Linked DNA regions of Oryzias latipes. The protein of the gene in region 2 purifies or fractionates together with the protein of the main gene of each other region. This does not show direct contact. Links are inferred from orthologs where the notes say so. Each region holds a gene or a part of one and is shown on either strand. Other genes may lie near its edges.

What was found.
Region 1: the proteins of phf6 (region 2) and lyar purify together in Homo sapiens (affinity purification with mass spectrometry; 3 studies listed by BioGRID and IntAct, with this or other methods). This does not show direct contact. The link is inferred for Oryzias latipes from reciprocal best matches to the Homo sapiens genes PHF6 and LYAR.

What each region holds. Positions count from the first base shown.
Region 1 is NC_019863.2:16,778,850-16,783,736, reverse strand, and holds the start of lyar (cell growth-regulating nucleolar protein), read right to left. Parts: upstream 3,411-4,887; 5' UTR 3,073-3,410; coding exon 2,951-3,072; intron 1,796-2,950; coding exon 1,681-1,795; intron 1,604-1,680; coding exon 1,496-1,603; intron 1,395-1,495; coding exon 1,314-1,394; intron 1,119-1,313; coding exon 815-1,118; intron 705-814; coding exon 636-704; intron 491-635; coding exon 405-490; intron 291-404; coding exon 153-290; 3' UTR 1-152. Other genes in the region: zbtb49 (zinc finger and BTB domain-containing protein 49), read left to right, coding at 4,106-4,257, 4,352-4,887. UniProt on the Homo sapiens protein: Plays a role in the maintenance of the appropriate processing of 47S/45S pre-rRNA to 32S/30S pre-rRNAs and their subsequent processing to produce 18S and 28S rRNAs. Also acts at the level of transcription regulation.
Region 2 is NC_019868.2:26,618,525-26,622,801, reverse strand, and holds part of phf6 (PHD finger protein 6), read right to left. Parts: intron 3,183-4,277; coding exon 3,081-3,182; intron 1,997-3,080; coding exon 1,863-1,996; intron 1,773-1,862; coding exon 1,726-1,772; intron 565-1,725; coding exon 401-564; intron 329-400; coding exon 185-328; intron 111-184; coding exon 6-110; intron 1-5.

The DNA of each region.
Region 1 (4,887 bases), on a different chromosome or scaffold from region 2:
AAGATGGTTGGAAAACATGTGGGACACCGGCCCTCGAGGCCAGAATTTGGACATCCCTAATTTGAACCTTTGCCATTACTGTAAAAAAAAAAAAATAATTATCGACAGTTGCAATGATTTTATTTTTAAAATCTTACAAAATACACGAGCATCTAATTGACAAGTTTCACTTGGTCTTTCAGAACTCTAAACTTCGGATTTTTGCTGATCTTTTTGTTGAATGTAGAAATCAGTTGTTCCTCTGTTTTAAAATTCCTCTCGCCAGTGAAAGAGTAATAAGCTGCCAAAACCTAAAATGTAAAGAAAGCCGGGATTAACCAAAAATCAAGATTCAACTAGCAAGAAAATATTTTAGATCAGGAATCTAACAGCAAACAAACAACTCTATCATCTATAAGCCTCACTTTCTTCTTGAGCCTTTTGATGGGCAGTTCCTGGTCAGGTGTTTTACGGAGAACCGCCATGATGGTTTCCTTCCAGTGGAATTTCCCTGTAAGGAAAACCAAAGAAATGAGCAACCAAATTAACATTTTCATATAATGAAGAACAAGACTGACCTCTACTGGACTCCCAATAAAATACAATCATTTAAGGACCATAACCCACTGGGTTAAGTCAGTCTAGAGTTAACTTACCCAGAGGAACAGCTTGATCTTCAGCCTCATTTGACATCTCAGCATCATTAGCCTCTGCTGCAACCTTAACTGGAAAAAAGGTTGAAAGAAAACAGGAACACAGGCCTTAAACACAAAAACCATCCTTTTTATCAAACAAACAAAAAAGTGTTGTAATAAGAAAAAAAAATGTTATTTACTCCTTTTCTTGGCAGATATCTCATTTTCATCACAGTTTTGCTCTTCATCTTCTGCTTCTTTGTGTTTTCTTTTTCCATCCTTTTTCCTTTTCCCTGTTTGGCTTTCTTTCTGCTCTTGTGTGACTTGTTCGTCATATAGTTTTGGAGCTTTTCCGTTGTTCTGCTGCCGGGCCTCTTTGCGTTCTCTTTTGTTCATCTTTTTGTTTTTCTTCACATCTTCGTGGCCAAACGGAGTTTGAGTTCCATTAGTGTTTGCTTGGACTTCAGCTTCTTTCTCCATGTGCTGCTGTGTATCTTCTGGAACCTGGGGTGCAAAAGATTACAGATAAGCAAAACAACAGTACAGTGAAAGAATGAACGGTATTACACAACACTTAATACATTTCCAGCCCTTAAATATCACATTAATATTATTTTCCATTGATTTCCATTAAAGCTTAGGCTCCCCAGCTAATAATTTAGTGTAATATTTACTTTAACAAACAAAACAGCTACTTACATCGACGGCAGCAGCAATTATGTTCCACACTTCCTCGTGTAGGCTTGTGTTGGATATTTTTAGACTGTTTTTCATCCAGTTCTGAAAGAAGAAAAAACATTAACAGTAATAAGTAAATACACATTTTAATAATCTTCCTGGTAAAAGCCTAAACCCTTCTTACAAGTTTTGGTAACACCAACCTGAAACTTGGCTTTCTTCCTGGGGACATTGTCGTATGCACTGACTTGCCTGAGCACATCTCTCAGCTTGGGACTGATGCTTGATTTGTTCAGGGCTTCATGGATTCTCTTCAGGAAAAGACACAAGTCAGGATCCAAAAGAAAAACAAATGTTCACATATAATCGAACTTGGGAAGATGTTTACCTGTAACCACTGCTGTTGTTTGACATCGCCTTTGTTTGCCTTGGCCTCGAAGCCTTTCCCCCCATACTTCTGGTCTTCACTGATACACTTAGTGTGATTTTTATAGTCGTCGTCCCTAGGTAATACGCAGAAAAGAGTCACATTGAATGCGTTACTTGGTCAGTCACAGAGCTCATTATGCGTTAGAATAGAGTATAAGAGAATAAATCTTTATTGATCCCACAAAAAGGAAATTTCCGTGTTACCATAGCTCTATTAAAAAACAGCAGATAGATAATAACTAATACTAAAAAATACACTTAAAAATGAAGAACAGTGATTATTCCCCAGTGTAGTGGCACTCTCTCTGTGTCTTTCTCTTGTTCCACCGTTTGACGTCTGTCCGGCAACTGTTATTTGAAACGCGAGTGAGACACGCAGAGAGAGTGCCACTACAATTTAGTCAAAAAACGATATCGCTTCCAACTTTCTCCGGCTTCAATCAACAATGAGTCTCACTAACAGCATCTCTGTGACGTAGGGTTTTTAATTGGAAGTTCAAACAATAATTATTTAAATTAACTATTAAATCAAAACAGTGCATTTGGCTCCAAAAATAACTATTAAATATAAACTGTGAATTTGGCTCCAACATCCAGTGTCTATGAGGTGTTGTAGAGTCTAGTAGCTAACAGAAAGAAAATTCTGTGACAAGGTGTTGAAGTCCATGGTTTCATGCTGAGGATGATGATGAAGAGGATTGTCCATGATGCATTTCAGTTTCTGTAACATCGTCCTGTGACCCTCCACAGTCACAGACTCTATAAGGGACATCCAGAATGGAGTCGTATCTCCATACCAGTTTGTTGATCCTCTTCCTATGTCAGTTAGTGCATCCGCCACCGCCCCAGGACTTCGCCACAATAAAAAAAAATCTTAAGAGTCCTGTAAACTCTGAAGAGACCCCAGTCTCCTCAGCCTCTCCTTCGATCTCCGGTCACTTCTCTGGTGGAATTTTGTTGTTGCCAAGCAACAACAGCTGATCGATGCACCCGTATCCCACTTCAGACCCAGAAGTGGTGGGAAATAGTCAAATTAGGGCTAGCAGGCACGTGACAACGCAAAAGAAGCCCAAGGCAATCAAAATCAGTTTAGAGAAAGAAACAAATCAAGTAAGCCTACAGGGCACTACGGTAACCTGCAGCCTAGTACCATGGCACCGGTTGGAGGAAAAACAAACTTGTTCCCGACGATATTTTGTAATGTTTAGAAATAACCCAATTGGTCTTACCAGAAATCTTTTCCGCAGTCAATGCAGGACAACACCTGACACCCACGGCAGATGTTCACGTGTTTATCGACCTGGGCTTTTTTCAGAGACTCGCCACACGCATTGCAGGTGAAGAACACCATTTTGATCAATTTTATCCACAGAAGCAACCTTTCTCTAAATTAATAAAGACAATATGTAGATTAAACCAGCAAAACGACAGAAAGTTAAACCACTTTAAACACCATCAATTAATGCACTGACTAGAGACCTGCCTACGGCAAGCTAACGTTTTTTCTAGTAAGTTATAAAAAACGCATGACAAAGAACAAAACCTTCATTGTCTTTAAAAATACCCAAAAATTAGAGCCCGTTAAATTAACCTCTTTAAAATTTTAATTTGAGCGTAAACGTGCGGGTTGAGTTTCTCCCGTCTAAACTTTTGAACAGACACGTGATTACATTCCTTGAAGCTACAGTCTTGATTCTCCGTATAGAAATTTTAACTAGACACCAGTTCCGCAGACCTTTTTTTTTCTTCCTGAAAACCTTTTTTTACATTTCATAACACAAAATAATTATACTACAAAGAGGTATATTTACGATTTCAACAGCACTTTAGAAATGTATATAGTCCCACTGTTTGGGGGTTTAGTATAAGATGTATTTCTTTCCCACGAGGGGTACAAAATAAGCGTTGTACCAGGAAGTTACGTAATGTTATTAAGCGCGAGTGACCCGTCATCCCAATAAAAGACGAAACACTTCACAATGATTTTGGGACCCCTCTGAATGGATATCGACAATAGTAAAATAATATATATAAATAAACACCTTTATAATTAAGACAGGTCAGCTGTTTATTTATTAGTTGTCATTGTAAATGGCTCGAATAGCCACGCTGTTAGCTTAGTAGCAGGTCAAATTTTTGCATGGACGGTCTTGTAGCGATTCTTGAGCTACATGACAGTTATTTTTGAAAAAATATATATATATATTTATACATGGACTGCGGTGTGTGGCTCACTACTAGAGTTCAACCCTTTAATCAACTTTTACTTTTGACTCGTAATCAACTTTTACTTTTGAGTCGTGTAAACTCAGGCTGTTGTTGTTGTTTTAAATGTGATTTTTGTGTGTTTCGCTTTGAAAAGGGGGGAAGCTGAGTGATCATAAATGGAGACCCTGTCCAGCCACAGCTCCTACCTCCTACAGCAGCTCCAGGAGCAAAGAATCCAAGGGCTGCTTTGTGACTGCATGCTGGTGGTTAAAGGAGTCTGTTTTAAAGCTCACAAAAACGTTCTGGCTGCTTTTAGTTCCTACTTTAGGTACTTTTATGCATTTATTTGACAACAGAATATCCACATGAGGTGTTGCTGTGAACCCTAAGAGATATGACCATTTTTTACATTTGTTTTTCAGGTCTTTGTTCCAAAATTCTCCCAGTCAGAAGAATGACGTCTTTAACTTGGTTATCCAAGATGTCAGTGGCATTGGCCAAATATTGGACTACATGTATACATCCCACCTGGACATTAACCAAGAGAATGTACAGGCACTTCTAGACATAGCACAGAACTTACAAGTTCCAAACGTTCAGAATTTGTGTAATGCTTTCCTCAAACCTTGCCCCCCACCCGTGGAAATGCATTCCTTCACTCTCCCAGGAATGCTAGGCTCAGAGCACGATTGCCTTCTGGGAAGCAGCCTGACTCACGATGTTAACCTGCACTGTCCCACAGAACCTCCACGGCCTAACTTATACAGTGATACGGAACACACTAGAAGAATGCCGGTTTCTTTACCCAACAGCAGCTCTAACTGTGACATGTCTAGCAGCTCCCAGTCTGCAGAAAAGCCTCTGCACCATGGATACAAGCTCCGTAATTTCTACAGTAAGCAGTACTTCAAGCTAAGTGCAATTCAGACTAACAATGCTGCTTCAAATCAAGTCCCAG
Region 2 (4,277 bases):
CTCACCATTCTTTTGCCCCTTTTGATTTCCTGGATGACCGTTTTCACGTCGAAGTTACCGAATTCGGCTCGTGATGTTGTGGTCAGCTGCACCGTCCCAGAAGAAAAGAGCTGGAAGAAACGGCAGGTTACCGGAAAATAACAGCCGGCGGCATTGGGAGAAACGTTCGGGCTAAACGTCCCACCATGCACTTGTAGTGCGCGGCCACTTTCTTGGAGTTGTCGGTGTGCAGCAGGCCTCTGGTTTCGTTCTCCTCCTCGCCGGCGTGGCAGAACCCGCAGCGCTGGCCGCTGTCCGCCGGGCTGCTTCGGAGAGGGGACCTGTCCCGCTGAAACGCCATTCAGACGTCAACAGACGAGACTCTGGCACGGCGAAAGGAACTCAAACGGCGTTCTCTTACATGCGAGGAGCCGTCCTCATCTGCAGCCTGCGAGGAGGCGGAGCGACTTTCTTCCGACTGGCCACGAGATCCGACCTTGGCCCGGGCCTTCTCCAACCTCCCTCTGCCTCGGCTTTGTGGAGGCGAGGAGTCCGAGTCGTTGGCCACGTCTCCTTCTTCTTCGTCTGAAGAGGAAACCAACAGTTTGAGAGTCGGACCCGTTGCTGCAGGATCTTCCCAATATTTAAAGACCCACTCGATGGAAATCTTTGACGTTTTTAACAAGTCCTTGTTTCTAAGGTGGCCGAGTGGTGCAAGACACGTCTCCATTTAAGTTACAACAACAACAAAACCTAGTACCAATAAACAAATGCCGAAACACAACAGGCTGGTAAAACACGACAGCAGAAGACGGAGAAACAAATGAAGCAAAGCGAGCAGCTGCTAAAGGAAAGGGAAGAATACCCTTCATACCGGACACAATGCAAAAACTTTACCTCGCTAAACCCACTGTGGTCATTTTTTACTGTATTAATACACTTAAAAAAATGCTCTTGGACTGTTTCATATATTTATAATGTCCACATAAAAAAAAAAAACAGTAATAAGTAACTTAAAAAAAAATCATATACGATTGGTTTTATATTGCGTCCCTTTCTGTTAGAAGCCGCTTTCTTTGTTGCGTTTCTGGATTTGTAGCGGGATTGTTTCTGTTTTTCGGTATTTGGTAATTTGCAACCGTGTTTCAGGACTCTGTAAAGTGCTCCGTGATTTGCTGTTGTGTTTCAGTGTTTGTACTGGGATTTGTTGTTGCATCTTAAACGTGTCTTGCACCTCTCAGCCACCGTATTTTTCTGATAGAGAGGGACATTTATAAAGATGCTTAAACGTGCATTTCAGAGCATTTCTGTGTTCAAATAATTGGAAATCAGGAGCAGACGGAAAAAAAAATATGATGTTGGGAAAAAAAAGCACATTTGTGATGCAGAACATTTGAATTTGGATCAGCTGGAATCTGCCTCAAAACTGTAAAGCTGGATGGCTCCAATACTGCTCGCCATTTTTGTTGTTAGGTTGGGAATGTGAGCAGCTGTAAGCTAGCAGAAATAGATGGATGATGGGAAGTGGAGGAAGGACTACTCTGCCCCCACAACCCAAGAGGCACATTTCTGATGAACTCCTGCTGCTCTGCAGCAACTATGTCCCAGAAAAACGCAATAATTAAACGATCAAAGAGGGACTTTAAATTCTAAATTTAGTCCAATATTTAAAAATCAAACTAGTTAACTCGGTTATTTTAGTTAGTAAAAGGTGGAAGGCAGCTGCACAGAAACAAGGCGTCTCACCTTCAACGTCGTCCAGAGCAGCATCGCGATGTTTGCGACAGTAAACACTAAACAGACGAAAGAACCCAGAAGCTTCATTTATGAACAGGTTCAGGAAAAACCTGCAGGTTTTTCAGCAGATCACATGTTTTCCTTACAGGTAAATCCCCTGGGAGGGATTCTCCTTGACCTGGGCTTTGTCCTTCACGGCGCAATAGTAGTGATACGTCCTTCTGCACGTTTTGACGTCGCAGCCGATGGTCGCGCCCGGTCGGTGACACGAAGAACACATCTGACGGAGGGAGAGGACACGGGGGAAATAAAAGCAGAAGCACTTTTATAGAAAAGCTTCCACTCGTGATTTCATTTAATGATGGATTTAAAGAGAAAAAAACGTCATTATCATCGAGCGCAGCCTTAAAAAGTGTTCATTTTATGAAAAAAAAAAGCCCTAAAAATGCCATTTCTACATTTTACTTACTCTAGAGAGAAAAACTGAATTAATGTGTTGTGTGCATAAATGCATGTGGGTCATTATAATGCAGAGAAGATAGAAACGTTTTATTTTATTTGTTTTTGAATCAAGTTATGAGTGAAGATCTTAAATAGATTTGATATTTCTGTATTTTCTTTTATTGCTTTTTTCCTTGTTTTTGTATTTTTATTGCTAAAATCCAATCAATCAATCAAGAAGATAGAAATAAAACATAACCATTGTAGGTGAAGCAAATATCTCTGATCACACCAACAGTAATTATATTAATGCTACAATACACAAGTATTTTATTGTAACTTGAACTTTTAAGTTCACTCTTGTCTAAATGTAACTAAATGAAGTTATAACTTAAATACATAGTAAGGATATAAAGCATAACATGAAAGATTTGGATTAATGTTTATCTAGAAAAAGTAAATAAAAAGTTTTTTTTTAATTGAGGCTTCACTGGTAGAAGAAATTTAAAAAGTAACTTTAAACATGAAAGATTGGGAAAAGTAACACACAAATTTGTTTTTTTCCCAGGTACTAAAAGTGAAAAATGAAGAAATGCTCACTAATCTTTTGGTCTATAACATTTATGTTCATCATTTGACTTTTTTTTGGTCTATTTCTAATTAAAATCTAGGGATTTTTTTTTTTGGTTAACTTCTTACAGATGCATCCAGATAAGCAAAACAAAATGAATCAACACTGAAAGCATAAAACAAGACACCAGTTTCGACCTCAGTGAATGTTTCACTGCATTTCATGGACGTTTCAATACAAACTCTTCACAGGAAAAACACTAGAGATGCTATCCGATCAACAGGTATCACTTACTGAAAGAAAATGACATCAAACACGGGTGTGGATAAGAAACAGGTAACGGCAAACTCACCAATTTATTTCCCCTTTTGATCTCTTTTTTTACGTCCTCGATGGAAAAGCCTCCGATGGTGTCGCCGTCTGCGTGCGACGTGACCAGAGCTGATGAAAAAAGCTGCACAAAAACCAAACAAACGCACAAAGATTAGGGATGAAAGTATTTATCTTCCCCGCGATTCCGTTCAAACCTGAATTTTGTGCCGTTTTGGTTCGATTTACGATTTGTGTCTAACAAAACAACAACAACAAATCAGAAAAATCCTGTATTTAATATGCTATTAAGCAAGTAACAATGATGGAAAGTCTGCTGTAATAAAAGAATATTGAACATATTCAATTTAACTCACCAGGGGTTGACATAGCCCAGAAATTTGCACTGGCCCGTAGGGCCCACACCGGCCCGACACCGCGCACAGGGCGACCCGCCGCCCGCAGGCGGCACCCAGGCGACGGACGCCGCAAGCACCCCTAACTTTAGGGGGGTCCGGGGGCATGTCCCCCCGGCAAATTTTAATATGGTGCAATACACTTATCAATGATTGAAAATGGAGCATATCAAACTTAAATCTGCTCTAGTCTGTTTCAGGTTTTTTGAAGAGAGCACTGCAGTGTAGTAGTTAACACTAGTTAAGAAGTTTTCATGCTGCTTCTAATCACTGCTATTTCACATTTGTTCCTAATCAATAGTTAAGAAGTTTTATTGACTTTTTTGCTCCGGCTGCCTTGAAGTTCTGCTTTTTGTTACTGTTGCAAAGTTACAGTTACTTTTTAGATCCTTAATAACTGTTATGTTGTTCATATTGGCAGAGTTACTTGTTTAAAGTTGCAAAGTTACATTTACTTTTTAGTTACTTAATTATAATTAAATAATTGAAAGATTAAATAAAATTAAATGACTGAGATCATTCGGCTTTTGACTAGAAATACTTACTGCTTACAGTGTACTTTGACATTATACTGCATTTGAGTCTGAGATTCAGGTATTTGGAGTTGCCTTTGATTCTGTGACGTTCAGCTTAAAGCTTAGTGCACAGTTTCATCTTCAATGCATTCATTAAACATCTTGCTGTCCATACTACTAATTCCACCCATTACTCCATCTAACATATTCCTATCTATTCCTGCCATGTCTTCCACATCTCTGACATGCTTCAGTCTCTCTTCAGCATCTTCAGTAGCCTCCCCATCCACTCCTTCCATTTCTATTTTC